5 linked regions of the Oryzias latipes genome follow. The main gene of each other region encodes a partner of the protein of the gene in region 4 in a complex. Links are inferred from orthologs where the notes say so. Each region holds a gene or a part of one and is shown on either strand. Other genes may lie near its edges.

The links.
Region 1: vamp7 (region 4) and stx7 share a complex: the UniProt entries of both Homo sapiens proteins name them as parts of the SNARE complex. The link is inferred for Oryzias latipes from reciprocal best matches to the Homo sapiens genes VAMP7 and STX7.
Region 2: vamp7 (region 4) and bet1l share a complex: the UniProt entries of both Homo sapiens proteins name them as parts of the SNARE complex. The link is inferred for Oryzias latipes from reciprocal best matches to the Homo sapiens genes VAMP7 and BET1L.
Region 3: vamp7 (region 4) and vti1b share a complex: the UniProt entries of both Homo sapiens proteins name them as parts of the SNARE complex. The link is inferred for Oryzias latipes from reciprocal best matches to the Homo sapiens genes VAMP7 and VTI1B.
Region 5: vamp7 (region 4) and syntaxin-4 share a complex: the UniProt entries of both Homo sapiens proteins name them as parts of the SNARE complex. The link is inferred for Oryzias latipes from reciprocal best matches to the Homo sapiens genes VAMP7 and STX4.

Annotation. Positions count from the first base shown.
Region 1 is NC_019882.2:21,985,876-21,992,826, reverse strand, and holds the start of stx7 (syntaxin-7), read right to left. Parts: upstream 4,175-6,951; 5' UTR 4,160-4,174; coding exon 4,015-4,159; intron 2,956-4,014; coding exon 2,863-2,955; intron 2,761-2,862; coding exon 2,691-2,760; intron 2,172-2,690; coding exon 2,081-2,171; intron 1,994-2,080; coding exon 1,856-1,993; intron 1,253-1,855; coding exon 1,212-1,252; intron 1,130-1,211; coding exon 1,036-1,129; intron 967-1,035; coding exon 894-966; intron 528-893; coding exon 445-527; intron 348-444; coding exon 252-347; 3' UTR 1-251. UniProt on the Homo sapiens protein: May be involved in protein trafficking from the plasma membrane to the early endosome (EE) as well as in homotypic fusion of endocytic organelles. Mediates the endocytic trafficking from early endosomes to late endosomes and lysosomes.
Region 2 is NC_019864.2:3,545,826-3,552,807, reverse strand, and holds the start of bet1l (BET1-like protein), read right to left. Parts: upstream 4,038-6,982; 5' UTR 3,967-4,037; coding exon 3,948-3,966; intron 1,518-3,947; coding exon 1,432-1,517; intron 553-1,431; coding exon 496-552; intron 1-495. UniProt on the Homo sapiens protein: Vesicle SNARE required for targeting and fusion of retrograde transport vesicles with the Golgi complex. Required for the integrity of the Golgi complex.
Region 3 is NC_019880.2:1,878,621-1,883,551, forward strand, and holds the end of vti1b (vesicle transport through interaction with t-SNAREs homolog 1B), read left to right. Parts: intron 1-676; coding exon 677-874; intron 875-948; coding exon 949-1,122; intron 1,123-1,704; coding exon 1,705-1,766; intron 1,767-2,292; coding exon 2,293-2,386; 3' UTR 2,387-3,041; downstream 3,042-4,931. Other genes in the region: arg2 (arginase-2, mitochondrial), read right to left, coding at 4,311-4,501, 4,580-4,716. UniProt on the Homo sapiens protein: V-SNARE that mediates vesicle transport pathways through interactions with t-SNAREs on the target membrane. These interactions are proposed to mediate aspects of the specificity of vesicle trafficking and to promote fusion of the lipid bilayers.
Region 4 is NC_019868.2:26,863,141-26,867,099, forward strand, and holds the start of vamp7 (vesicle-associated membrane protein 7), read right to left. Parts: upstream 2,801-3,959; 5' UTR 2,581-2,800; intron 2,186-2,580; 5' UTR 2,151-2,185; coding exon 2,005-2,150; intron 1,898-2,004; coding exon 1,840-1,897; intron 1,715-1,839; coding exon 1,577-1,714; intron 1-1,576. Other genes in the region: DNA-directed RNA polymerases I and III subunit RPAC2, read left to right, coding at 3,264-3,302. UniProt on the Homo sapiens protein: Involved in the targeting and/or fusion of transport vesicles to their target membrane during transport of proteins from the early endosome to the lysosome. Required for heterotypic fusion of late endosomes with lysosomes and homotypic lysosomal fusion.
Region 5 is NC_019877.2:19,250,236-19,257,192, reverse strand, and holds the end of syntaxin-4, read left to right. Parts: intron 1-516; coding exon 517-616; intron 617-1,505; coding exon 1,506-1,580; intron 1,581-1,651; coding exon 1,652-1,722; intron 1,723-1,846; coding exon 1,847-1,955; intron 1,956-2,065; coding exon 2,066-2,139; intron 2,140-2,407; coding exon 2,408-2,545; intron 2,546-2,623; coding exon 2,624-2,734; intron 2,735-4,246; coding exon 4,247-4,324; 3' UTR 4,325-5,215; downstream 5,216-6,957. Other genes in the region: helicase SRCAP, read right to left, coding at 6,735-6,957. UniProt on the Homo sapiens protein: Plasma membrane t-SNARE that mediates docking of transport vesicles. Necessary for the translocation of SLC2A4 from intracellular vesicles to the plasma membrane.

The sequences.
Region 1 (6,951 bases), on a different chromosome or scaffold from region 4:
GCTGGAAGCTCCTTCAGATTCAGAGTTTCCCCGCTGCTTCACAGTTCAACTCTGCCATCCTGACAAAGCCTTTACACTTAAGACAAACCATGAGTCAGCATTATTTCTGCACGAGTTTGGCAGCACAGTGTGTCCGGTCCTGTCAGCACGGAGCATTATTTCTCAAAAACACAATTTAATCAAAGACTCAGGACAGGTCAGAGAAGAGAACTTCTGCTCAGTGCAGAACAATGAGTCAGCAGAAGAGGCTGTCACTGTTTGGTTGCTCCCCAGATGATGAGTCCTATCACAACAGCGGCGATGGCCAGAACCACCAGCAGGATGCAGATCTTCTTCCTGGAGCTCCGCTGTAGACAGAGGAAGAAAGCGTCATGAAAAACGCTGAACGTGAGGAGTCTCCTTTCCTTTTCTGTGCGGTCCGCTGCACAGAAGCTCCGCCTTTACCTGGTAGTCTGCGGCCCGGGCCAGCTGCTGCGTGGCATTCTGGACGTGCACGTCTGCACTCTCCACATTGGCTTCTATACTGTCTGTAAAACAAACAAAGCAGAGGTTCATTTTCTTCTGTAAAGCAAGACTTCAGCAGAAGTTGGACTGGACAACAAACCAGCTTTTCTGTTGTCTCAATCGATGTGTGTGTGATTCTTTAAAATGGGTAGACTTTATCATCTCCATGCTTTCCCACCAGCAGCTGATCTGACCTGTGTGGCCGCTGTGAGCTGTGCATTTATAACATTTGGAGGATCAGGAGAAAGTCTTTCTCCCTGACAACGAGGTGGAAACATGGCTGCAATTAACAAAACTGCAATGAGCAAAGCCCAGCGCGCTCCTCTGGACGGAGGGGGAGATGTGCCTCGATGCAGCTGCATGTGGAACTGAAGGTAGCTGGCGCTCACCTATCATGTCCCCCTGCTCGTGCACCATCATGCCAAGGTCCTTAAAGATGTCATTGATGTCTGTGATGTCCGCCTAGAGAGCACAGAGAGATGAGCAGGAGCTTTAGAATGACCCTCACCACAAACACAGGGGGCTGCTGACCTCCAGCTGCCTGATGGATGACTCTCGCTCCTGGATCAGCCTCAGGTCTTCTTCTGTGATGGCTTCAGCCTCCGTCTGGACCTGGGAGTAACTGCAGATACAAGCACACCACATGGCTTCAATAGTGCAGCCACGACAGAGGCGAGGAGAAGAACCTTCATAGACAGCCAGCTCACCTTGGAGGAAGATGTCCGAAGCCGTCATCAGGCTGACCTCCCTGCTCGAGACAATTTACAGGCAACTTAAAACATCTTCAGCTGTGGAGGACCTGAACCTCTAAGTCCAGCCGCGAAACTACTGAGAAGTTCCTGTTTCTGTGAGGACCGTATCCACAACAAGGACAATGCCTGTTCTTACTTTATGGAGATGTTTGAATGCCAGCAAGAACCACAACCATCAATGAATCAACATAAAGAGATCTGCCCCCCAACCAGCGGAAGGCTCATGCTGGGTCTGGAACAGGCTGGGACAGGTGCATCTGCTCACCTGACCATCTGAAACATTTCCTCACAGCGCTCACACTCACCCACTCCATCCTGAACACGCCTATAAACCCAGACACACTGTCACTGGAAGAAGCTTTTCTCATTTCCTCAGCTGGAGGGTTTCATCTGAATAACCTGTCTACGTCTGAACGTTCAGCCAAACTCTGAGCAGATGGTACATTATGGCCCAGAACAGCTGAAACCGGGAAACCATGGCAGTGTTGTTCAGAAAGAACCCGGATGGTCCTGGTTGTGGAACGTGTGAGTATGAGGTGAGCGTGCACGGAAAGCTCTCGCTCACAGCACTCCCAGAAATGACGAAGGCGAATACGAACCGACAGCCTGGAGCCAGCTCGGACTCGGGCCACGAACTCCCGCTCCTTGTCGGCGGCCTGCCGTTGGGTCTTCTGGAAACTGTTCAACGCAGCAGAGAAGTCATTGAGCAAACGCTCCTTCTGCAGCTTCCTCTGCCTCTGAAAACACAAACACAGCTGATCAATTCCCACAAACTCCTGACCGGGTTCGATGTGATCGGTGCGTGGGACGAAGGGGCCTCGTACCTGATCGGGACCGACGGGGAGGGCGGTGAAGGCCTTGATCAGCTGGTCGGTCTCCTTGGCCAGCTGGTTCCCCTGCTGCTGTTTCTGCTGACTGAGAACCAGAGGGAAGCATCTGTGAAACGTTTCACTCGAGGAAACAGAAATCTTACAAATCCATTACTCCTGACGTGGAAAATGCTCGGGTTTCAGGAGCTAGCTGAGTACAGAGTAAAAAAAAACTATTCTAAAGGTTGAAAACTACTTTTTGAACCTTAAACCCACTGAATGGAACTGTTTTAAAACAGGGACAAATGATCCCATTCAAGTAAAACACTGTTATAAGAATAGAACTTACTTTAGTAACAACCTGCATCTCCAATGTGTGTATATGAACATGTATGTGTTTAGAACATCTTTTTAAAGTTATCTTTCTGTTTTGATGAATGAATTAGATGCTAAAATAATAAAGACAGTCTGCTTCCTGCCATTCAGGAGTCTTTACAAATGAACTGACTGAAGGAACAAGGGAAACGTATGTGTGTGTGTGCATGGTGACCGTCCACAGACAGGCCGGCTGTCGGTTTGAACTCATTTGGCTGCATGTGTGATCAAGCAGGCGGTCAGAACTCACAGCGTCTGTCTGAGCTGGCTGCTGTCCTGCTCCGTCCCCAGCAGGGTCACGGCCCTCTGCAGCTCTGAGGCTGGAACACAGATCCATGAGTGAGGATGCTGGGGGTCCAGTGGGGTTCAGCATGTGCACAGGTCTGTGTGGGTGTGTGTGTGTGTGTGTGTGTGTGCATTACTCAGTAGTGTGATCCTCTGGATGTTGGAGCTGATGTTCTGAACCAAAGCGGCGGGCTCCCGTTGAATCCCAGCCTGGTAGGCCATGATGAGAGCTGAGTTCACACAGAAAGACACATTTATGTCTTGCTTTCATACAAACTGCATGTTTAACCTTTAAAGTCCCCCAACCATCATCTTATGATCTATTGTCAAAGTGTTCCCAGCGGTCTTTTCACTACGATTCTGCTGTTTTTAGACTAAATCAGAAAACGTTGTCGTTTTCTAGGACATAGTTTCTGCGGACTGGGAGTAATTCATTAGAAATTCCCCTCTAAGGTGTGGGCGGGACTGTTGGCGAAAAGCACAACACCCCCCCTTCCCGTCATCCATCTTTTTACAACTCTCCCCTGCTAGCTTACAGCCCCTCACAACCTCAAGCTAATATTAGTGATGCAACAAAAATGGTGATCAACATCAGATCTATCATCCGTCCAGTTCTGATCCAGATTCCAGGTCAGACCAGGAAGACAAAGACGTTCACGGATCTGTTTGTCTGACAGATCAGAATAGAGCAGAGCAGGGAGCTGGTGACCTGCTGATTGTAGTTTACGTAACAACTAAGAGGTTTTTCAAACAGCATTTTTTCTTCTGCTCCTGATTCACAACGATTTGAAGAAAGAAATACTCAGAAATGCAGTTTTAAGCTTGATTTTCTATATATATGTATGTCCTCCATCATTAGAAAATGCTACAAGAACATGTAAAAACACCACAAACACCATTTTCATTGGAGTAGGTTTTTAACTAGCAGGACGGGTGCTGGCAAAACCCAAACCCAAAACTGTTGTCAATCAGGAGCAGACAAAAAAAGACTGTGATGAAGACTAGTGATGTAGAAAATACTCTGGCCAGGCCAAAGTGTCCCTGCCCTGCTCCATTCTGATGCCCCCACCTGCAGACAAATAGATCCATGGACAGCTCCAATATTGAGCAGCATTCTTGTGGTGCCGCTAAAGCTATGGATGACGGGAAGTGAAGGTGGGCTTACTCTGTACCAACAGGATCAGGAGGGAAAACTACACCATCATCAGCGTTTGTCTGACATAAGCATCAACAGTCTGAGGTCAAACCAACGTTTTGATAACAAATGGAGATGATGGAAACTTCCTCACAGCTTTGAGTGATGGAGGCAGTGAAAACACAAAGAAGGAAAGTTGCTTTTCCTCTCAGAACAAATCCTGAAACTCTGAAACGCTGAAGGTCAGAACCAAAGAGCTGCTGCAGCAAACACCAGCCCAGCTGACCCCTGACCCCCATCCATGCTGGACCAACGTGGGCTCATGCCCAGTCTGCTCTGATCGGGGGCCAGTTGGGGGGGGGGGGGGGGGGCGTTGACGCGGGTCAGGCAGTTGCTCACGCGCGTTTCCGGGACCAGCGGCGCTCCAGCGTCTGCTATGATGACGCGTTTTTAGGACCCCGTCAAGACCCCCTCCGCCGTGCGTTACGGGGCAGCCTGCCGCCTGCAGCGGTCGGTCGGTGGGGCTGCAGTCTTTCCAGCAGCCGCAAATGCGGAAATCAGAGGACTTTCTCGGAACACCACGGTCTGTGTCCTTCCGTGACGGCTGCTCTCTCCCGGAGTTTCTGTTTATAAAACCCCGAACTTTAAGCGTCAACGTGACGTTTAGCTCATGAAACTACCGGTCTCTACACAACTGCCCCCCCACCCGCCCCCAGCCCGGTTCGGGACATCTCGCCGTTTGTCCTCAGAAAGTGAAGCGCTCCGAAACCCGCGGTAGGATTTTGGATCGAGACCAAAACCTGCTCTAGAACGGTTCGGTTCGTTTCTGGGATCGTTTGGACTTTACCTGCGCTGAGACTTGGAGCTGCGCCGTTTCCTGACTCGCAGCCACTCCCCGGTCACATGACGCGCACGGCCCGGCCCCGCTGGAGCCAAGAGCCGCAGGAGCCGCAGGGGCCAGGGGACACTCCCACCAAAGACTGGAGACAAGGCTTCAGGGTTCTGCTGCGCCCCGGTCCTTTAGGATGGAAACGAGTCAACTCCACAAAAACAAGTCATAACATTAACAATAAAGGACTAAAACATAGTTTCAGCGCGCTGGAGCAAAATGATGTTTATTCAAAAAATATGACAGAGTCTGAAGGCCACATATTTGAGAAGGAGGGGGGAAAGGAGACAGAGGTGGAGGTCTTCCTCATGTTAAGGTTTTCCTCATGTTGAGGTCTTCTTCAGGTGGAGGTCTTCCTCATGTTGAGGTTTTCCTCAGGTGGAGGTCTTCCTCAGGTGGAGGTCTTCCTCATGTTGAGGTTTTCCTCAGGTGGAGGTCTTCCTCAGGTGGAGGTCTTCTTCAGGAGGAGGTATCCCTCAGGTGGAGGTCTTCCTCATGTTGAGGTCTTCTTCAGGAGGAGGTCTTCCTCAGGTGGAGGTCTTCTTCAGGTGGAGGCCTTCCTCAGGTGGAGGTCTTCTTCAGGTGGAGGTCTTCCTCAGGTGGAGGTCCCCTGCAGTTCTCTCCCCTTTGGACCCTTCGTCTCCACTCAGTAGAGGAGTGGAAATCTGGATCACAGACATAGGAGGAAGCAGGACATGAACCTGAAGCGTCGTGGAAGCAGCAGCAGGTCTGTAGGAGGCAGCAGGTGTTTATCCACATATAGAATATATATCTTTGCACTATCTTTTTCCAAACTGGCAGATCAATGACATATTTGTATTCGTCAACAGCAACATGCAACTGTGTTGTATTACAGACTCATTCTTGCTCTGTAGCTGGAATATGTGGAAGGGCGCTCATGAGCTCCCTGTCCTGGCTGGGCTCCAGCCTCGCCCTGCTATTGACAGACACATTTGGCTGCGTAAGTGACCCCTGACCCCTGCAACCTCCTGCTTTGGCTGCTCATCTTCTGCTGCTGAACCTTCAGGGGTGTGAGATGATCCCAACACAACACTTCTGCTCATAGAGTGTAAAGTCACTGCTCGTTTGAGCTGAGATGTCAATCAAAGTATTTCAATGAAAACCAGGTTATAGCTTACAGCTTTCTCTTGTTTTAGCACCACCAGCAAAGGGGAGGAGGAGAGGACCTGGGGGGGGGGGGGGTCCACCTCGGATGAAAGAATTTGTCAAATGTACAAATAACTTTCTGAATGCGGCTCTGTTCAGAGAACACAGAATAATTGTTTTTAACTATATCAAACAGACTTCTTCTGTTTTATTCCCGCCTCACATGTTCAGTCTTTATTTGATCATTTAACTTATAAACTGGTCATTTCTTGTTTTATATTCAATAAATAATTAATGTTCAAAAGCTTTGCAAAGACTTTTTGACCCAGAAGTAAAATATTGTAAGGAACAGTTTCATTCTATGGAAAGTCATTTTTATTTATTGCGTATTTTGATCAGTTTTGGCTTCATTTGTGAAACGTCACACAACTAAAACACAAGTCCAGCAAGAAAACAAGCGTTACATTTTTGACAGGCCAGTGCCATACGGGCTGGACTATTTGAAGACAAGATAATACTTGATTCATCACAGGACATTTGTCATTTATTTTATCAACTGCTGCACTAATATCATGCTTTAAAAGTTATGACAAAAACTATATAAAAAAAAGAGAGAATCAAGCTCTTAAAGGTTGTGTGGGTGGCTCTCAAAAAAGGGGTCAGTGGGTCAGTCCTTGGTTGACATGCCAGCTGCCACGGCCCTCTGTAGAAAAGTGGGCCGTGAAGGTGTCTCTCACTCAGAGGAGTTGCTGCCGTCAACAGTCTAAAAACAATCTTCATAATTGCAGATTCCAATTTGTTGAGTGTGTGTGGCCTTGTGACAGACTGGCAGCCCATCCAGGGTGAACCCCACCTTCATCCAGCCGGTTTGGGGATAGGCTCCAGCAACTCGGCCACCCTGAGAGGGATTCAGTGGCTTCAGAACATGGACGGATGGATGCGTGTTTGAAATCAACGTTAACTTATTCTGATATTCATTCTATACACTAGCAAAACAGTTTATAGATTATTAATTCATTATTACAGACATGTTGATCACAGACAGAAGTCACTGGACAGTAAATGTAGCTACATGATGATTAACAGAAATGGGTC
Region 2 (6,982 bases), on a different chromosome or scaffold from region 4:
TGTAGATCTAGTCAATGTATCTCATTTGTAGCGTGTCTCCTGTTCAGAATGTATTATGTTTGCCAAATCAAGATAAATCTTTGATCACAATCAGATCTTTGTTTTCCTTCTATAATCCTGGATTATTTTTCTCGGAAGGTTTGAACTTTAAAAGTTTAAACAAAAGAGAAAAGTGTGAAAATGTTCATGTCTCTCTGAAAAGAGTGTAGAAAGTGTGTAGTGAGGAGTTTTACAGCCTTAAAACATCTGTATTCCTACTTTGCAGATGTGACCTATCCCGGGTTATTTTTAGAACACAACACTTGTAATAAACCAAGTAAACTGCAAATTCTAAATAAAAACTGGGATGTATAGCAACAATTGTCTGTTTTGAAACAGCTTCGATCATTTTAAGAAAAAAACAGTTTTCAGATAAAAACAGCTAAAAAAAAAACTCCACCTAACATCTTTGTACAGATGGATGAGATTTAAAAAGAGGATTTCCCGATTACTTACCATGCCGTCCAGGTAGTCGTTCTGATCATCAACCTCTCTGTCGATGTCATACGCCAGCTGTCAGACATGCAGGAGAAAATATAACTGCAGTCATAAGATGACAGATATGTGGCAGACTTAGCAGTTTGGAGGCCCCAGGTGAACAATAACGTGGGGCCCTATGCAGCGGTTGTATTCATTTTTTTTATTTAACCCGGGACAGAAGAAAAGGACTTTGATGGATTTTTGGATGCTGATTGATGACTGAAAAAACAAAAAATAAATCACAACCAACTCAGTTTTGCTCCCGCTGCCTTTTTTTTAAAACACACACTAGCAAGCATGTTGTACCGGTGTTTTAACGTGCCCACGCCCTAACCCCCGGAGCGCCTTTTGTGTGTCAAATACAGGAAAAATCCCCCATAACTGAAACTGCGCCCTATAACCTAGTGGTAGTCTTTGAAACATTGACTGTAGTCATTAAAGCATAAAGTCTGCACCTGCCATTTAGATGTTCCACACTCACACATTCATAAGCTTCATTAAGTTATGCACTTTTGACATAGCCTGACAACAGAACCTGCAGGAAGCTACAGATGTGACAGAGACGTTATCAGCCATGGCGGAACAAAGAATGGACACGTCTGACTGATTAAATATACGATTAAGCCTCTAAAACTGATTGTTTGAGAAGCGTGACCTGTCCAACTTTTTCCAAAATGAGAATGCCGCAAAAAAGTTGGGGCAATTGGATGAAATTCAACACGAGAAAATGTTGTGGGATTTGGTTAAACTGCCGTGAATTGGTGCAATGGCAACATTGCGAAATCCTGTAAGGTCTGACAGAAGCATAAATGTATAAACGTATTCGTCTCTCTGCTTCCATTCAAGCTACAAATAGAGAAATAAAAGTACATCATCTTCAGGAATCTGCAGAAATGTTCTAGTTTGACTCACAGATTTCAGTCTGGAGACTTTGGTGGCCAGGTTCTCAGCCAAACGTTTGTTTTTAGCATCCAGCATGTCATCCACTGAGTCATGATCTGAAAACATACAAGATGAATTAAAAGTGATTTGTTTTAGCCAAAGGTTTTACATTTAATCAGACATACACATTAAAAACTTTTGTCAATAAAGCCCAATTTAAAAGAAGCTACACGTGAATGGGTTTAAAACAGACCTCAAGTTTTGCTTTCATTCTAGCTGCACTTTTGAATGCTATGTTAAGATCTTTGATCACAGATTTACTGATGAGACTGTAGGAAGTACCATGACCTGGAGGAAACCAAAGAAAAGGTGATAGTTCACTCATGAGATATCGGCCTGCTGCTCCATCATCACTGAACACCCAAGCCAGGAATATTTAGGGGGGAATATAACTAACACCTTCATAAAAACTGGACTGAAGTGTGCCTGCAGAAAGGCTGTACTGACTGTACTGACTGTACCTGCAGTACTGCCGAGGAGCCTGTGTACTTTCAGGGAGGAGTCACTTCCGAGGACCTTTTTACTCTCTGTAATGGTACCAGCAGCCAGAAATGGTCTTTTTATTTATGATGATGATGATGATGTTTTTAGCCCAAATCTAAATAACTGTGTTGTTTTCTAGGACATAGTTCCTGCAGAGCGGTAGGAGTTCATCAGAACTTCACCTCTGAGTTGTGGGCAGAACTGTTGGTGCAGAGAAAGCCCGTCCTCATTTCCTATGATCCCTGTGATTACATTCTCTACTGCTAGCGTACAGCCGCTCAGAACCCCAAACTAATATTAGCAGTGCAACAAAAATGGTGAGCAATATCAGAGCTATCTGGTGTAGGTACCGTAACCGTTCGCCTGCAATAACCGTTCGGGGGCCTTTCGACTGAGGATACGGTAAATTACATTACACTTAAAAAATTTACTTGGCATGTATATATATTGCTAATACACATTAAGATTATAGTTAGAAAGCATAATTGGTTAAATATAAATGATAAAATATACATTTCTTGAGAGCACTAAAATTTGAATTTCTTTTTCTTTTCTCAAGGTTAGAAAGAATGTGACAGACTGTGCATTGACAGAGGATGACATTTCAAGCGCTGAAGAGATGGTTAAAGCACTTAAACCAATGCTTGTGGAAAAGAATCCAACCATTTCAATGATTGCTCCTCTTCATGCCAAACTGCTGTACAACTCAACTAGCACTGAAGAAGATTCTCCTCTGGTTCGAGAGATCAAGACCTTTCAAAGAGATATCAGTCTGAGGTGGAAAAAGATCTCCTACGCATGTCCTCAGCCCTAGACCCTAGATTTAAATCTCTTTTGTTTCTGCAAGACACGTCTGCAAAACTGAAGTCAAAAGCAGCTTTAAAGGAAGGGGATCCAGTGTCTTGTGATGACCTACAGGAGGATTTGGAGGATGAGGAGCCGCCACATTCCAGCAGCGACACCAGCACCACCAAGAAAAGAAAGTCTGCACGAGTAGATCTTCTGGGTCAAACCTTCAAGAAGACCTCTTATGCCTCTACAGCAGCAGCCTCGCAGAAAAAGAGGTCAAACAATATCAAGACGCCTCTTCTCTGCCTCTCACTGAAGATCCACTGCTGTGGTGGAAATCTCAACAGCATGTGTTCCCTCTGCTCTCCAAACTGGCCCATATGCATCTGTGGATTCCAGGGACTAGTGTGGTAGCGGTTATGGTACCTACACCACCTACAGCTTAGATCCAGAGTCCAGCTCAGAGAAGGAAAACAAAGACAGAAGATGGATCCATTTGACTGACAGGGGATGAATCAGAATGGAGCGGAGCAGGAAGCTTGTGGCTCGCCGATTGTAGCTCCTACGTCACAACTACAAGTTTTTTCAAACTGCAATTTTCCGTCTGTTCCAGATTAACAATAGTTTGAATAAAGAAACTCAGAAATGCAATTTTAAGCTTACTTACTTTTCTCCATAATGAGAAACAATGGCACAAGAACAAGTTAAAAACACAATTTTCATGGGAGTGGGTCTTTAAATACTGAGCAGAAACTCGAATGAGAACCAGAACCACAGAATTTCAGGTTAAACCAAAGTTACCGACGGACATGAGAGATTGTAATGTCATTTCCGACCATAGTATTACTAATTACACGGATTCCGAAAAAAAGGAAATTTGTTTATCTAAATAGGAACCAAAAGATGAAAAAATAGAGTGAAACTTGAACATTTATTTGAAAAAAAATCCCTCAGAACTTAAGGTGGTTTTATGTAAATAAACGAATTTGTTGACAGCTCAAAGTTAGTTCACTTCATGATAGCTACACTGACTTGTCAACAGCTAACTAAACTACTGTTAGCTCAGAGTCAGACGCTCCACATTTCCGGTCGTAATCTAATCCGACTTTATTTCGCTTTAAATACTCCCTCCGATCTACGGGACTCGTCTTATCCTGATTAAAACACCGAAGATGAACAAATATTAAAAAGTGAATACGTGTTCGGTTTCCTACCTCTGTCCCAGCTCGCCATCTTGCTTTGTGACGTCACAGTCAGCTGCCCGGAACACGTGACTACGACACGTTATCAGTTCTGATCCTGAAGGAAACGGAACAGGTTGAAATGAAAGTTTAATCCAGAACCGCATAATTTATTAATGTTCTCTGCTTTCATCGGGATGAAAAACACAATTTATATAATTTCTTAAGATTCATTTTTTGTTTCTTTCTTACGCTCTATAGAACAATTCAAAGTTCCTTTAGTAAAAATTACTTGAAGTTTTTGTTACTTGAGTATGAGTATTGCAAGTGTACTGTAGACCATGTACATGTAGTGTAAGAAGTATACTAACTGAGTCCTTCTGAAGAAATGTGAACATTTTAAGTCTACAATGCATGGATATAAAAGTTTAAAGTATACTGCCTACCTTTTAGTGTAGACTAAGTATACTTGTAGTACACTTAAATACACTACTTTTTGCGAAGAGTTTGCTCTGGTAAATAACTATTTTATTTTCTATTGCGAGAAGGTAACAAATTAAAACTATAGACTCTAAAGTGAATTTTAGTCAAATCTAGGTCACAAGGAAGGAATAGTTATTTTAAAAAAGAAGTATTTGATTAAAAAAAAGATTTCTAAACACATCACTCTTGAACTGTTTACGCTTAAGCTAAGGCCCTTGTTTCTATTGATTAAATCTGTTCTTTTTTTAATTTAATTTGCTATGTTTCGTTTTAAATTGACTGCATTCTTCAGTTCTTGAATAACATTTTTGTTTACAAATCACACTTTTGAAAAACAATGAGCAGAAATACCTCGTTCACACCTTTTTAATCAAGCTTGTGCTTTTTCCTAATTGAAGTGTTTTGTGTTGTTGTGTTTACAGTATTGACAAAATGTCTTGGGTCTGGATGACCCTTGTTTTCTGGAAACTGTTCTGCTCTGGAACTCTCCTGTATGAATGAGAGTCCTCACAGAAATCATGTGTCAGCGGCTCAGCCGTGCTGGTTGTGTTCTTTGGGTATTGGCTTCATTGACCCGGCAATCCTCTCTCCACATATAGGGAGGGGGATCCTTGAGATTTCTAGCATCATCTGAGCCTGGTGGTGTTTGTGTCCCTGGTTCTGGTTCTGGTCCGTGCATTCTTGCTATGTAACTCCTCATCATCATCAACACCAGAGAGCCTGGTCGGTCCATGCTAACCATTTTTCGCAGGGATCCTTGTCTCTCGCTGGAGCCCTCTTCCTGCCTGGATCTGTGCTGGACTCCCCACAGGGCAGGGAGGTAGTTGGCTAGGCTGTGACATGAGTGTTTCTTGGGGGATGCAGACGCCTGGGTGTTGGTGGACGCCTGATCTGCGGCTGTGGGAACTCTCAGGTGGGTGTGACCTTGCGCTGGACCTTGTGCTACCTCTGGACTGGGTGGCTGGTGCCGTTTGTCTAGGGGGGCAGACCCCTTCGATCTGCTTCTCTGTGTGGGTGTCTGGGGGGTCACGTCTGCCCCTGCTGCCTTGCCAGGGAGTTGGTGTCCGGGTGATCGATAATGTCTGAATGTGAGGTTGAAATAGAGCAAAAATCTGAGATACTTAAACAAGCAAAAGTGGCATTCCTTCATTCGTAGCATGTTTTTTTTCCTGGAAAATTAAAAAAATAAAAGTGATACATGAATGTTGGCTCAAGCTGAACAAACTGATATGTGATATGAACATATTAGGAATTGGCGTGGTTAACAAAAAAACCTCAGTTGCCAAGGAAAAAGTTTACCATTGCAGATTTTTATAAAGTGATGTAGATCTGTTCTTCACTCTCAGACAAACAAAAACTACAATGGTTCTTATGGAGACTACAGTAAACCCTTCTGTTTGGAAAAAAAATGTTTTTCTCATGAATTTGTCACATGTTGACCAGTCTGGCAGAGGAATGTGAAGGGCTCAAAGCATCTCCTAGGCCAGTGAGGGCAGGTAAAAAGGGGGTAGTAGGGGGTGTGAGGGTGGAGGCAGGTTACGCCTGCGCCCTCATCGGCCAGATTACTTGTGTTTTTCGGACTAAGCGTTAGACAGGTCTGTTTTTAACTAGCTTTGCAGTTTGTCTTAAGAGGAACTGTGAGGTTTGTAGCTTTGGTCTAATCATCTCTGCCCTGTGTTAACTGCACAGCATCATCGGCATACGTCACAATGTAAGGATGATGTGGGAGGTCAGTGATGTACAACCAGAACAGCAGGGGCCTGAGCTGGCATACCTTAAGACCTAATTTTATATTTTTCCAGTGGGAGACACAAGCTTTGATGCGCAGCAGCATGCATAGTGCCAAGAAGAGCAAATTACTCAAATTCAAATGATGATGTTGTGTGAGGCAAACCCAGGTGGGTAACACAAACTACTGGGCATCTGTCCCACACCCAGGTTTAATCCCTTTGGCAGCAGGCTTTGACACAGCGACTCTTCCTGCTTTTGGTGTGTTCAGAACATCATATTTATAGCGCTCACCTTTAAAAAGTGTGCAGAAAGGTCAGAGTTAGTCTTCTTTTGTGCAAACACACTCTGGTCCTGAATGTTAAAGAGTAACAGTCCTGTGTGTGTGCATGTTCAGTAATCCTCCTGTGTGCTGTAATCCACCTACCTGCGCTTGTGTTTGTGTGCGTCACGTGTTTGTGTGTTTTGTGGGTTGTGTCAGCTATGTGTGCACGCACAACAAAAGAAAACAACTTTGCCGTAAAGGCAGCCCTGATGCAAGGGTGTTTTCAGAGTTTTGTAAGTAAAGCTTGATTTGTATGTGATGCTGCTGGGATGAGGCAGAATATTTGAGGTGGCGTAAAGATGCAGCACCTGTCTTTATTGCGTCTTCCTCTCAGGTCTGCTCATCCTGACCACAGGAGCTTCAGTTGCTGCTGTTGGGTGTTGTGTGAGTATTCCCGTTCCACCTATGTGTGTGTCTCAGTAGGAGACGTGTGAGTGTTTCTCAGCAGGAGGAGCTGCAGGAGCAGCAGAAACCGTCTCCCTGTTGCTCACTGAAGCCACAGATTGTCTAATTAGATTAGGCGAGGCTTTCC
Region 3 (4,931 bases), on a different chromosome or scaffold from region 4:
TAAATATTAATTTTTAAAAAAGGCTTTGAAAAAATCAAACTGGGGTTTTTGGTGCTACAGTCAAGAACCAGCGAAGACTTGAAGTCAAAGTTCAAATATTTGGTTGCGTTTCACACACAAAAATAAGAATATTTGATCAAATTTTGTTCATCTCTTCCTGTTGGAGGGAAAACGAGCTTCTAGTTTCACATGAAGTCATTGTGCGTTTATCAGCTGATTAACCTTTAATTTCTTTTTTTCATACTGTTTTTACATTTATTTGAAATGAACAGTGTGATTATGGTTACATGGTTTGCATGCAGCTTTAAGTTTAGTTTTCTATTTTAAATTTCTTTTTGTTCTTTTCATTCATTTGAAATAAAAGAAAAAAATGTTTTATTGTTTTTTCCCCTCTTTTTTATTTTTATTTTTTACAGCAAACAATACCAAAAAAAAGAAAAGCAAAGAACAACAAAACAAACAAATACCCTGCAGATTTTACAATTAAATGTTCAAGTAGAGGTTGACTTGTCTATAGAAATAATCCATTAATGGTTGCCATGTCTCAGGTGTAATTTCTTTTTTAACTGAAGAGTTAATAATTCCATTTTTCTTGAACCTTGTCGGCGTTTCTATAGTCGTTTCAGACGCTAAAATCCATCTTTTTGATCAAATGGACTTGGATTTTCTCTCACAGTTGCAGGGCATGGAGGACGAGCTCCGTGCGGCGCCGGCGTCCTACAGAAACGCCATGAGCACCAAGCTGCGTCTGTACCGCAGAGACATCGGCAAACTGCAGAGGGACATGAAAACCTTTGCTCCCGGCTTCGGCCCCGCCCCCCTGACGTCTCACGGCGACCGCCAGGGCCTCTATTCACCCGAGAACCAGCAGAGTGTGAGTGTGGACCTTCACGCCTCACAGGTGTTCTGGAAACCTCCTGACTTCCTGTTTGTCCCTGGGGGGTGCAGACACACCTGCAGTCGCAGAGGTCGCTGCTGCTTCAGGGGACGGACTACCTGAACAACGCCACGCAGAGCATCGAGCGCAGCCAGCGCATCGCCGTGGAGACGGAGCAGATCGGTACAGACATCATCGAAGAGCTGGGGGGGCAGAGGGAGCAGCTGGACCGAACCAGAGACAGAGTGAGGCCGCCGCCTCCTCCTCCTTTCCTCCTCCTCCTTTCCTCCTCCTCCTTTCCTTCTCCTCCTTTCCTTCTCCTCCTCCTCTTTGTCCTCCTGCTCCTTTCCTCCTCCTCCTTTCCTTCTCCTCCTCCTCTTTGTCCTCCTCTTCTTCCTCCTCCTCGTGTTCCTCCTCCTCCTTTCCTCCTCCTCCTCCTTTCCTCCTTCTCCTTCTCTTCCTCTTCCTCCTCCTCTTCCTCTTCCTCCTCCTCCTCCTCCTCCTCCTCCTCCTTTCCTCCTCCTCCTTTCCTTCTCCTCCTTTCCTTCTCCTCCTCCTCTTTGTCCTCCTCCTCCTCGTGTTCCTCCTCCTCCTTTCCTCCTCCTCCTCCTTTCCTCCTCCTCCTCCTTTCCTCCTTCTCCTCCTCCTTCTCTTCTTCCTCCTCCTCGTGTTCCTCCTCCTCCTTTCCTCCTCCTCCTCCTTTCCTCCTTCTCCTTCTCTTCCTCCTCCTCTTCCTCTTCCTCTTCCTCTTCCTCCTCCTCCTCCTCCTCCTCCTCCTCCTCCTTTCCTTCTCCCGCGTCACTCGTTTCGTTTCTTCCTCTGTTCAGTTGGTGAACACGGGAGAGAACCTGAGTCGAAGTAGGAAAGTTCTGCGGGCCATGTCTCGGCGGTAAGCTCACCCACCACTCGGGTTGATTCAAAGGGTCACGTGTCAGTCAAAAGGGCCACGCCCCCTTTGTGCCCAGCATTTATGTACAGTACTTTAAAAAAACATAAAAGCACATAAACATGAACACAGTCAAGAGTTGGAGAACAGGAAGAAGAACAGGCTTTGGATCCAGACTATAAAAAGTCTCCCTCAGACAGCCCTCAGGTGTGGAAGCACACCTGAACGTCTGAGAACGAGGGCGTGTTCACTCTCAGCGGAGCGAGGACAATCGTTTTATTGAAGCAGAGTATTATGGGTAAAGCAAGAACTGCTCATAACACAAGAAGGTCACGCGTGGTAGAGTGTCCGCCCCGGGAATGTCAACAGCTGTAGAAGTTTATGGGATTTTGGCGTCTTAGAGGCCGCGGGCACTTCCTGTTTGGAACGCCAGGGAGGAGGAGTCACTTAGACCAGTTCGCATATACAATAATCAAATAAACGCTTAAATCCACCGATGATGAGGAGGGTCTTCCTCTCTGTCCTGCAGGCTCATGACAAACAAGCTGCTCCTGGCTGTCATCATTCTAATGGAGCTCGCCATCCTGGGCGCCGTGATCTACCTGAAGTTCTTCCGGAAGTGAGGGAGCGTCTGGAGAGGAGGAGCTTCTGCCCTGTAGCAATAATCCTGTTGGTGTGAGCGAGTCCGCTCTGAGACCAGGCCCTTCCTGAAGACGTCTGACTAGAGAAGCACCTCCTTTGACCTCACAGAAGCTCCTCAGAGGGACGTTTGCTCTTGCCAGGGGTTTTCTGAAGGTCACGGGGTCAAAGGTTTCGAGGTCAAGAAATTTCTCTGTTTGGCTTTGAAGGCCTGAGATGAAGCCAGAACGCTCACAGTAGTAGAAATAACCCTGAGAAGTATTTCTGACCTCTTACACATGTGGCCAAATTTTCTTTTGCTCTAAATGTAAAACGAGGACCTAATCTATACGGTATGCCATTTCCTTTACCTACACATAAATAACACCACTTCCTGTTCAGTGCTTAGTTGGCTCCATTAAAGCTAACCTGCTACTCATCTGTTTGGTGTTATATCTAAAGAACGTTGCTGTGGAAAAACCAGAATATTCCTCCTCAAAAGATGTGGAAAAATCAACTGTTGCAGTTCCTCAATTGACCACTAGAGGCTGTTCCCCAAAGGAAGATATTTCCAATTTAGATGGCCTATATCCTGCTTTTCTGAAGCTTTTCTGTGTAAACTACATCCATGTGACAATAAATGACCTTTGGCACACTAAAGAACACGTATTTTAATGAAATATTCATTCTACCTGGAAATAAGACTCGATCTTGGAGGCTCCGCCTTTCGCTCCGTGTGGGTGGCGCTCAGGTTTTTAGAAGAATACTCAGAAATGCGTGAAAGGATCAAAATAACCGCTTTGGGGTTTTCTGTGAGGAAAAACATCGTAAAACACTTAAAAGTGGATTTTACAGGATAAAGGCCCTTTAAAAAGACTAACTTTACAACCATTATTTCTGCCTTTTATCATTAAGATGCACTGCAGGAGTTAGGAAATGAATGTAGAACACGTTATTTCTCGTCACTTTTGGCCTCTTGGAGCATCTCATTGAAAAACCAACATCTTGCTGTCAAAGCCCTGAATGAGCAGATTCCATCTCTTCTCTCCGTTTTTTATGTGTTCTTTTTCCAGCAGGCCCTTGTCCTCCTGACTGACGCTGGTCATTCCTTCCCGCTGTCGCCTTCTGCATTTTCAGCTGGAAGTTTGGTTTTTTAAAAGGATCATTTCCTCCTTAATCTTTTCTCTAGGCCGCTTTAGCTGGAACAGATTCAGTTGAAGCAACATTTTTTTGTTTGCTGCGTAATCTTCTGAATTTATTGATGCTCAAAATGTTTGCTTATCATAGATATTAACTTATTTTCTCATAGTAAATGATGCTAAAGTGCTTCTAAACTGATCCTTAGCTGGATTTTAAGGAAGTATGTGGACCATTCCCATCAGTGACGATCCTCTGAGTCTCATTCTAGCAGCAAACTGAAAGGGAAAAAGAGAGACGAGTGCAAACAAACAAAAATGAAATCACATTTATGGAAGACCAAAGTAGAGGCTCTTTGTAACACGATTATCAGTCGCCATAAAACAGACAAACGAGCGTTAAAGCAGCACTATTCGTGACCAGATGATTTCTAAAGCGCCTTTTTTAGTAAATAAAACGTAACGAAAACCGTAACCACACATGGTCCAGAAGAGTGTTCTGAGAAACGGCGCTGCTATTAAAGTCCACTTTTCATCATATGAATCTTTTTGATGCCCTGCAGATCAGTCCCACACGTGACACACGCTTCGTAACACGCTAACAAATAAATAAGAATGGCCTCTTTTAGAGCAGCAGCGGCCTCAAAAGGTGCAGTGGTTTTTTAAATTATTCAGTCTCTCTTTGCAGCACAAACATCTCGTGGATTCATGGATTCACTGGACCTCCAGAACAACAGTGTAGACAGGAGAAGCGTGGAATGGTCAGGATTCGATCCAAGGTTCTGGGTTTGCTTCATAGGCAGAGCTGCTCCGTGTCGCTTTTCACGGCGGGGATCACGCTGATGGAGGCGTGAGCGCCCTCCCTCGTCTGTCCCAGCGACGACGCGATGACGTCCACGGCTAAAGAGGCGGTGGCTTCCACTGCCTCGCTGCTGGCGCCCAGGGTGGGGTTCACCTCCACCATGTCGATGGCCGACAGCAGACCTGCGCGTCCATGAGATGAAAGGTGAGGCGCCGGACAGAAAACAGAGGCACTGATGGGCGGAGCTCCAGGATCCGTACCTGTGTTGTGGATCTCCTCTGTGATGTAGATTCCTTCTCTGTAAGTGAGGCCTCCGTTCACCGGCGTTCCCGTGGCGGGGGCCAGAGACGGGTCAAAGGCGTCGATGTCAAAGCTCAGGTGGATGGGTCGCTGTTTCCTGCAGAGGAAGGTGAGAACAGCGTCTTCATCCCTGCTGTCGCCATCTAAGAACCTTTTTCTCCTCCCAGCCAATCAGATTTGTAGAAGTCTATGACATCACAGACTAACAGCCATTGGCTATAAGAGAACTGGGGTGAGAGAGTGTGACGTCATCCATAGGAAATGGTTTACCAATCACATGAGGTCAAATCAGGCGCCATTTTTTTCAAAATA
Region 4 (3,959 bases):
CCTCATAAGATGTGTCTGAGATTATTCTCTGTAATATTTACAGAGATATTTTGCCACAAGCCACTTTGTAAAAAGATCTGTGGCTGTTAGAATGAACCTGCTGCTCCACACGAGTGAACCGTGTCTCTGAGCAGAGCAGCTGGAGTCTCGTAGCTTCGTGTTCGCAGGCTGGGAAGCTGCTTTGTTATAGTGTGCGGTCCGGAGAAGAGTTCAGAACGCAGTCTGTTCAGCTGCAATGCAGTTAATAATAATAATATTTAGGGCTACATGTCATGAGGAAAACTTAATATTGCGGTGACGATGTAACTTGGGGTGTAGGAAAACAACCAAAAACATCATTTCTATTTCACTGCAACAGTTTAAAAACTGCATTGCAAATGACCAACATCTACATAGGAGACGAACATCTAACACAAAAGGGCTCCATCCGATTGGTCAAAAACATAAAAGGGATTATTTTTGCTTCGTTAAATACTGCCATCAGATTGTTTTAGCATACTTAAGGTAACCATTTATTGCGATCTTCGCCGTCTTTTGCAATATGCATATTGCACAGCTTGATATTGCGATAACGATAAATTTGCGATATATTGTGCAGGCCTAATCATAATATTACCAAAAGCACGTTTAGAAGATAATCTTTCTCTGTGTCGGAGCTCTGTATGTTTACAACGGACCGCATAATATCTTCTTCTATGTTAGTATCGTAATTTATCCAGACCAATCACTATCTGATATTGCGATGACGATATAACTTGTGGTGTATGAACAAAGAGCAAAACAACCTAAAACATCATTTCTATTTCACTGCAACAGTTTAAAAACTGCACGTGATCGGACCAACAGACATCCAATCACATAATGTGACGTCAGCACTCTTCGAAGGACCCCGAACGGTTATTGCAGGCCGAATGGTTATGGTACCTACACCCCACAGGAACACTGAAAATCTGCACTCATTTTTCCTTTAAAAACAAAAAAAAACTTTTTACTCCTTCGACCATATCACTTCGATATTTGGTGGAAAATAAAGGACAATGTTTTTTTTAACACTAACACTGGAAAACCCTTGCTAATAATACATTAGAGGTTCAGATATTTGTCTGTCCTCAAATACCAAACATCCCTAAAACAGCACTTCCATGAAAATTCTTAATAAAGACAGATAATTGTATCTCTATGCTGCACAGGTCAGGAAAATGTTCAGATATAATTCAAATGATACAGATTCAAATGCAGCAGACAAAGGTTGACTTTAAAACGTACTTAAAATGCCAGAGTGGTCATGTGACCATCTGCTGATCTTTTTGTACATGCCACGATTGTAGAGAAGGAAGTTGAAACCCATTTGTCAATATGTTGACTATACAAAGCTGAAATTGACATGAAAAGGGTTTTTTTTAAAGAAAAAGGACGTTTTTAACTACTCTGGGGGAAAAACGAAACTAAAACCAAAAGAAATAGGAAAAAAAATAGAAGAAGTTTGCTTTTCTGGTTATGACTAAAGCAAAAGTCTTTTTCTTCTTCTAAAAAAAGTCATATGGCATTCTAAGGAAATCTGTCACGCTCAACCCACCATCTGAGCCGCCAGCGTTGAGGAGAATTCACTGTTCATGGCGTAGGGAAGGGCGGTTTGAGCTCTGGAGCCATACGTCGTCTGGAAGCGCTTCTTGACTTCGCCAAGAAAGGTAAATGCACGAGATCTTTCAAAGTCCTTTAACAGAAAACATTCAATCACGATAAATGCAACTACACGTATTTAAAGCTTTGTGCCAGTGTCACATCCTTCCCAACTATTGCTGAACATCAAAACAAAATAAAAAGTCCAAAGATACTCACATCATCAGTGATGCACAAGTATATGATTCTGTCATGGCAGATGTAATGAAAGAGGTAACTGAAAACAAAATAGAAACACCATCAGTTACACGTTCCCAGAAACTAGCCCTGATTGTGGGCAAAATAATGACAATTATTGAGATGAAGGAGCAAACTGGACCGTACCTGCCGTGGCTGTAGGTCAGTTTGTTATTCTCTGAGGGGATTTTGGCTAAAATTTGTTCTGTGACTTCCAGGAAGTTGCCCCCGCACCAAGCATGTTTGGCCAAAATCGTGGTTCCACGAGCCACCACAGCAAACAGGATTGCCATGGTAACACAGCTGGGTTCTCCGCTACGTTAGTTTTCTGTCAAATAAACAAGGAAAGGAATAAGCTTTTTGTTGTTGTTGTTTTTTGGTAGGTGGAGCTCAGGTAAAACAAAAATGCCCCCACCCGCCTTCCCTCCCTCCCACCGGAATTCCGTTAAGATGAGTTAGAAAGAAAAGGAAAAAAATTGTGTATTGTAGACAAAAAAATACTAAAAACGATTACACCCAACATCCCTATGCGTGTTATTGTGGTATAAATCATTGGGAAAAACAAAGACTGATTCGGCAGCAAGCTAGCGTAGTAAGTAATGTTGAAATAAACACGGAACAGTGGTGGCGTCAACGAAAAGACCAAAATGTTAATCAAAGTGTCAGTTCAAGTTTTTGTTTGTAAGTTAAACGTTGTTGCAAAAAAACAAAACAAAACGATACCTTAACGTGTCAGCGCCACTCAAACGAGCTAATTATTTTCCCACATTTATAATGTGTCAGCTGCTAGCAAGCTAGCTAATCCCTTTCGAGTGACTTCTGCTTTGCGGATCCTTTGGACCGGAAGCACACACTGACCAACGCTGGGTAATGTAGTTCTTTTTTGCAATTTCTTTCACAGTGAATGCTGCTCTTCTACCATTCTGAACTACACTTCCCTAAACTACAAATGACGATGTGTCTTCGTCATATGTTTTCATGCGTAAGAGCAACTGTTTAGGAATTCCCCTCAGTTTAGCCTTAAAGGCTACGATTACACGCTAAATTGAATGCATTTGCAAATTAAATGTTAAGGAATGTTACTTTTTAGCGCAGTGAAAGGTAGTACTTCATCACCAACCTAATTTAAGTTCGATCCGTTTATCTTTTCTTAATTGCATGTTTTGTATGTCTATGTTTAACAAAATTTATTTGTGTCATCACTTCAAATCGACATATCTCTTTATGGCAGACTAAATAAAACATTTATTCTTAGGGTTGTAGTCGGAATAAATGTCCAACCAAGCGGGTTCAGTTATTAATGAATAATAACAGCATGGCGACACTTTCATTTTCAGCCTGTAAGTCAAAAATAAAGGGGAAGAAACACAAAGCTCATACTTTGCAGTGCGAGCGACGTGAAAAGCATGGCCGGGGATGGCGAGAAGAAACCCAAACTGGAAATGGTAAAATAAGAAAATGTCGTTTTGTTTGATCAGTTATTTAGATACTTAACTGTATATTGGTTAAAGTTTGTGTAGGTGAAATATATAATAACACATCGAAGAAGCTAATGCTAGCTTTCTCCACCGCCCGGCTGCAGACTTCACGTGGAAGATGAAGTGTCTGTTCATAAGAAAATCCCTTTTACTCGTATATAAACATTTTTTGTTAATTTATATTACTTAAAAAGAAACCAAAATCATGTTTTATTTGATAAAACTGAGCTTATATTTTAGTGTGTTACTACATGTCATTGTTTACTTGGTCAAAATCCTGCGATGTCTTTTATCCCCACTAGGGGGCAGTATTTTAAAACAAGCAGTGTTTACTTAAGATTTGTGAACTAAAATGTACTTAAACGTTAAAAATATATATATTATAGTCCCACAAGTCCCTACTAAACAACTGATTTTTGTTTTTTGTAATTTATATTAAAATAAAAAAGTTAAACGTCCATAGTCTCAAAGATCACTAAAACAGAGAAACAATATTCATGGAGTACAAATTAATGTATGTAAACACTGTTGTAGGAGGAATATGGCTCTCAATTGTATTTTTTTCAGCAACAAACCCACTAAAATGTTTCAAGATTCACTTATAGTGGTCTACAGAAGGATGAT
Region 5 (6,957 bases), on a different chromosome or scaffold from region 4:
ATTAGAAAATCTTAGGATACTTTTTGTATCAGTTAAATGAAACATGTTCAAAGGTGTTGGTTTGTAATAATGGTGTTTCTATTTTCTCCAAATTTCTTTATATTTTTAAAATTCAGATGTTTTTCTTTGAGGGAGGCTGGAGTCAGATACCATCAAGATGGCAAAAGTTTCTGAGCATGTCTTTCAATCCAAACCATTTGTGAGGAAATCAAAATAAACTAAGTAAAGAGAGATGAAATCATAAAGTCAAGGCAGTTATGGATTTTATTTAAAGTCAAGGATCCATTATGATCTATAAACCTTGAGAAGATTCTAAAATAAGAGTCAGCAGAGGGATCTTTGTTCTAATATTTCCTTGGATTTCTTTTTTTTTTATACAAACACTGCATTTCCCAACCCATTAATTGAAGTTTTCTGATCAAAAAAGGTCAGGATGTTACAGTTGCAGTTAAAGCTGTTTGTCTGGGAAGATGATTTTGCCTGTTAATCCTAAAACTTTACAAACTTCTTTCTAAGGTGCAAGAAATCCACGAGGGGTTGCAGAACTTAAAGAGGATGGTGTCAGAGCTGGAGAACAAACAGAAGACGGTGCTGGGCGTGGCGCTGCCAGAGGAGAGTACGTCAACTTTATGAATTTGATAAATTCGTGTTGCATTTTGTAACAGAGGATCAGTGTAGTTGCACTTTAGGATTAGAACGACGTTTCTCCAGATTTTTCACAGGGATCCCACCAGAGTAAGGCGGGGCTAGTTGGGGGCGCCTTTCCAATCAGATTTTTAGGCTCAATGAGGGCACCAAATATGTTACAGATTAGTTTTCTCTATTGGATCGCAGTGAACATGTTTTTCTTTGTCGTCTTCTTCCAAAATGCAATTAAGGGAGCTCCTTTCATGAGGGTGTCTGATGCTTCTCTGCTGATCAATCAACTCCTGATTTAGTGATTTTTCTCAGTGGCAGATACTTTAGCACACAAAGGTGGTCAAAAATGAAAGGAATATAATAATAAAAAACAATTTTTTAAAAACATTTTTATGAATATCTCCTTGTACTTTGGTTTGTTTTGGGCCAAACACATGGCAGGAGCCCACAACTTGTTTGTACCGTCCAAAATGTCTCTGCTGGAGCTGTGAAAGAAATAAGAAATACAAACATAAATTCCTCCCTTCTCTCTGTCTTTAAATCCTAACGTTTACTCACAGTATCAAGACAAAAATAAATCATAAAAAAGAGGACAATTATTTTGACATTTTCAACACACCCTTCTTCTTTCTCTTCTCCTTTTTTGTTGTTTCTTTTTTTTTTGTGGTAAATGTGTTGAACTGATGCAGCTAACTTTAGTGGTATTTCGTAGATTTCCACACATCTTACAAAAAAAATGTCATCCTGAGACTCCAGTTGCATTCAATTTCTGACGTTGTGTGTTTTATTTCGACCACGGCGTGCTGCTCAGAAAACTCTCAAACTGAGGATCTGTGCTCATGAATGCTGTTTTCCTCTCGGGTTAGGTATGAAGAAAGAGCTTCAAACTCTTCGAGAAGAGATCAAAATATTAGCGAGCCAGATCCAGAGGAAGCTGAAAAGTGAGTATTTGGGAGTTCAAATCAAGAATTTTGTCTTCAAACCACTTAAGTTTCTTCTCGTCTCAACTGAGGTATTGAATCCAAAAAGTCGGACGATGATGGCAAATATATTCCCATAAATGTCCGGATGCAGCGCACTCAGGTAGCATCTTTACATATTTAAACAATAATTTTATCTATTTGACAGAATAGGCTTAAATGCAGAAATTTAGACTGTTGCATCCTCCTTGCTGCTTGTGTGAAATAAATTGGTCTGTTTTTCCCAGCATGCCATACTTTCCAAGGAGTTTGTGGAGCTAATGGGCCACTGCAACACCATCCAGGCCAAGTACAGAGATCGCAACGTGGAGAGAATACAGAGGCAGCTTAAAATAAGTGAGCTTTCTTGTCCCAGGCCGTCTGTTGGTGTTCAGGGACGTCGAAGTATTTCCTCACCTGTGCTTTTGTGAACATGTGACTCACTGTTTGATTGGTTCTGTCTCCAGCCGGCACAAACGTGACAGAAGAGGAACTGGACACGATGCTTCAAAACGGCCAAACGGATGTTTTCACTCAAAATGTGAGTAGATGTGCGAGAGGTGTCGTCATGGAAACGCTGCAGCTGTTTTCCATCACTCAGAAACATGTCATGATAGGTTTGCTCTCTTGTCACCTCTCGAATTGCTCTAACTGGACAGCAGATTTGGTAAGAAACAGACTTTAGTGTCACAGTAGCTGAGGCGTGAAGACCCATGCTTAGTGCAGCCTTCCTCAGAGGGATGTTAGCCCAAACACCCAGCTCGGTTGGGTTCTTTCCTTTACTTATTGGACCTTTTTGTGGCTCACAGATTTTAAATGATGCAAAAGCTACTAAACAAGCCCTAAATGAGATCGAGTCGCGGCACGATGAGATCCTGAAGCTGGAGCGGAGCGTCAGAGACCTGCACGACATGTTCCAGTACCTCGCCATGGAGGTGGAGGCTCAGGTATCACAAACACCAACAGACCTTCAGGCTGGTTCCATCCGATATAGGTTTCCATCATGGCGTTTTTGTGTCTTCCAGGGAGAGATGGTCAACAGAATCGAAGAGAACATCAAGCAGTCGTCCGACTACGTGGAGAGCGCAGCGAAAAACACGCAACAGGCCGTCACATATCAGAACAAAGCTCGCAAGGTAGGTGTAAATCATGGAGCATTTTGAACCCAGTGCAAAACAGGAAGCTGAATTTTTCTGACTTCCTGTTTCAAAACAAATAAATCCTCGATATTCTGACATTCACAGAGTTTCTTAATTTGTTTAAAACTTTGACATTTTGGGTTAATCAAAGGTATAAAAAAACTGAAAATACAGAGTTGGTGACAGAAATGAGTTATGACCCAAATTTTGCTTTAACTTAGACTAAAGTTTGATAACTAATATATTCATTTTTTTATCCTGGCATGGTTGAGAAGGTACACTAAATGACTTGACATATGGTCTGGCCTCACCTGTTGCACTCAATCAGTCCCTACAAAGCATCACTTCAAAGAGCCTAACCGGCACACACCTGATCGGTGCTTCATGCACAAAAGTTTCTGACTGTCCACCCCATAAAATGAGTTTTATTTGTAAAAAAGCATGTGATAGAGTCAGATTTGGTATGAATCCAATTTGGGAGAGATCCTGTTTGGGCCTCGCTAGATTTGTTGAAAACACAAATAGAAATGCTTTTGAAATTTTATTTTTTTAAAGAACTTTGCAGTTCTCCTTTTTTTTTTTTTTAAATCTCACTTTCACAATTGTGTGCAAAGGTTTCAATTTTAGAGAGCGGATCAAACGTCTCATTCTTTGCTTTTGACAAACCAAAACACTGAGTCTCCAGACTCATCCTAAAATTTAAACCCCCACTCCAATCATCTTTTGATTCGTTTAGTCTTTTAATTAGGATTATGCTGTTTTTAGCCAAATTATTTAAAAGAAAAGTCATTTTCTAGGACATGGGGTCTGCAGAGCAGCAGTAGTTTATCAATGTAGTCCCTTTTTCATTCAAAAATCAAAACATTCTAAAGTATCTTTAGTCAGACTGAAGCATAAATATGTAGTCATGGGGACTTGGGAGAGTGGCAGAGGTTTTAAAATGTTTCTATCAGTTTTTTCTGCCTTCATTTGGTTTAAAACCTGAACTAATCAGAAGTCCTCGTATTTTCAGATCAACAGTTTTTAACCCTGTTATAACAGTTCACATTCAAAAAGCCATGTTTTAAAGTTTGGTGGGATGTCATCACCAGCTAATTAGATCAGTGGTTCCGTCTCCAAACGCTTTACATTCTGCAGGTGTTTATAAAAATTGAGAATTAACTTCAAAGGCGATGGATAAAAATGTCTTTTTACATTTTCAGTTGCACAGACGGCTGCAGAAGAGCTCAGTTTCTGAAAGCAGCTGTTATGTGAATCATTTATTCCACTTTGGTAGGATGTTGTGGAGAGATTTAGCTCAATTTGTGGTCCTTCAGATACTTAATTTAATTTAAAAAATGCTATTGCAAATTTACCAGAAGTGTATAGTTCTTCTTTTAAGAGCTTCAACTATTTAAGGTTAGCTTTTATTTTTGATCCCTGATTTCATGCAAATATTTTGTGTATATCTGATTTTGTTTTTTTTTGTAATACCAACCTGTTTGATACCGTTTCTTCTTTTTACTGCAGAAAAAACTTTGGATCGCAATCTGCTGTGCCATCCTCCTCCTCATTATTGTCATCGCCGTCGTGTCCACGTTCACATAGTAAAAGCGGACGCTGACACTGCCTGCAGCATGTTGGATACATAGAATATAAATTATCTATACATTTTTTGTGTGTAAGAGGAGTCCACACAGGTGAATTTAGTCACTGAACATTTTTGTTTTCTATTCCTCACCTTCCAAGTCATTTTTCTGTAATGAAGCGTTTTTTTTTTGGGTCAGATTTTCAGTTATGTTTGCATTTTCATTTCTGTTTAAGGAAGGAGTCTCTTCCTGCAAAACTAACATACCGTTCCTGATTTCTTCTGTTTAACCCCCATTTTTCACAGAAAGACAGAAAGTGAGCTTAAAAAATGCAGTTGCAGTATTGATCTCAGGAAATCTGTTCACTTTTGTTACGCTTCCACTGTGAAACTGTAAAAATCAGTTTAACAGGTTTTTATAAACGGAAAACAGACTAATATTGTAAATAACAGATTGTGATCATACAGAGATTTTTTTTTATCTTGAGCATTTGGACTTCCAAGTGTAAATAGGGAAAAGTAAATCCCTTAGCACCAACGAGGCCAACCCCAGTTTGTATTTATTAAAACATTCTAAGCTGCTACTAAAATGAGTTGTTTCATAACTAAGCCTTAACTTTTCAGAACTGTGCCTTCTCCATGCTGTCTACTTAAGAATGTGATGCTGAGCACCAACACTGTCAAGAAGGGATGGATTTTTGATCTGTTGTAGCCTCTTAATAAAGATTCGGCACAGCTTTCTTTGCCAAACCCTTCTGAGGGTTTCTGTGACCTCCTGACACTCAGACGACCTGCTGAGAGACAAAATGACAACATCTAGCTCCAGGTTAGCTGAAGGAGACAACTTTCCCACTGTTCAGCTGTTAAAGCATTGTAATATTTGGTTTTTTAAATAAAATACTCTGCCTTTACTTTGTCATTGTCAGCTTTTTTTTCTTTATAAACATCTAAACGGTTTTAATTTATGCATGAAGTTGAGTCGTGGCATCTGGGCTTAAAAATCTACTTTCATGACATGAAAAAGTCTCCAGGAAGTGAGACTGAAGTCTTTTCCTTTAAACGTTCTGACCACACATGTACCAGAAATACAGCGACAAACCTTTAACACCAAACCGTCACTAATTTTTGGTCTTTTTATTCAACTGTAATTGTCTTAGTTTTCAAGTAAAACAATGTGGAATTACAAGGGATCAAAGGAATGCGGCAAAAGAAATCAGAAGACCATCACCAGAACTACCCATTACCCCCACCCCCCCCACCCCCCCAGGTAATAATCACCTTTGCTCAAAATTAAATCGACAATTACAGTCATCTGGAACTGCACCAGTAAATTTATTCACATTTTATTCATGTAATGTGATTTCTTTTCCTTTTATACATGACCCAAGAGCGATGAATGGCAAACTGTTTGGTGGAAAATCAGACAATTAGGATAGCACTGATGCTAGGGGGGGCTTTCAAGAGGTGTGGGGGGGGCTTGAGTTTCTTTGAATGAACTCGTCACCCCAGTGCCGTGTGCTTCACAAGGCAATTCAAGGTTGAAAACCATTTTGGCCGAAGAGGCACTTCTTTTTGCCCTTTCAAAATAAATGCATGAAGTGGATTGCAGCGATAACTTGTTGTAAAGATAGGATATTCAAAAAAATACATTTTCCAAACAGTTGAGATACACTGAGTTACCAGGAACCAATTAACTGACTTTAGTTGATGTACAAACATGTCACTACACCACAATGTGTTCAAAGGCTGAGGGCCTTTTCTTTATTTTTACTATTTTTTTTCTTCTTTTTTTTTTTTGAGTGTGCAAATGAAAAATGCAAGGCTGGATTTTCAAAGAACACAAATGACTTGATGAAGGGGCCCAAGCAAAGACGAGCTCCAGCATAGTACAGCCACACTGACAGGCCTGTTTTTTCTCTTCCTAATACCAGGAAAGAAACATTAAAATATGCATAACTTATCAACTGACTACAAAGAAACAGCTGACCAAACCTTTCACCCATCCTCAAAAAATCAACCGTCCTAAAACCTCCAGACTCTCGATTCAGCTGGTCGCTGGAACTCCAATAGAGGGAATCGAATAAATCTGTCTGAATACACAGAGTTCCAGTCTAATGATTACAGTACATGTATTAACCCGCTTGTTACCTCTTGCGCCTGGTGGTGAATTCATCCACTGCACCACCTACAACTGTTCATGGTTGCACTACACTGCTTGTCAGTCCAGCATCCCTGAGCCTCCACCCCCCCAAACATTCAAAGCTGATGAAGGCCCAAGAGGTAGGAGGTCCTGGCCCATGCAGCACTTCTTCCCATCGTTTCCTCAGAGAGTGGAGGCAAAGCAGCAACCAGAGTTATGCTCTCCTATCGTGCTTTGCGACACTCTTGCGTGCGCTCTTCTTTTTCTTGTCTTGTTTTCCTTTGCCCACTTCACGTCTTGCTGCTGCGCTGTTGACCAGAGGAGGAGCGAGTGCTTGCAGCTGGTGAGCGCGCCTGCACCGCTGCCAGGGCGGCAACGCTCCGCAGCACCCTGTCCGGAGTCCCCTCGGTCCCTGAGCTGCTTGTGAGCTCCGGAGGGAGTTTCTGCGACCTGCTCTCCCTTCTTTGACCATGTCTCTCCTTTCTGTCCCTGCTCTTGGCCCGCTCAGAGCTG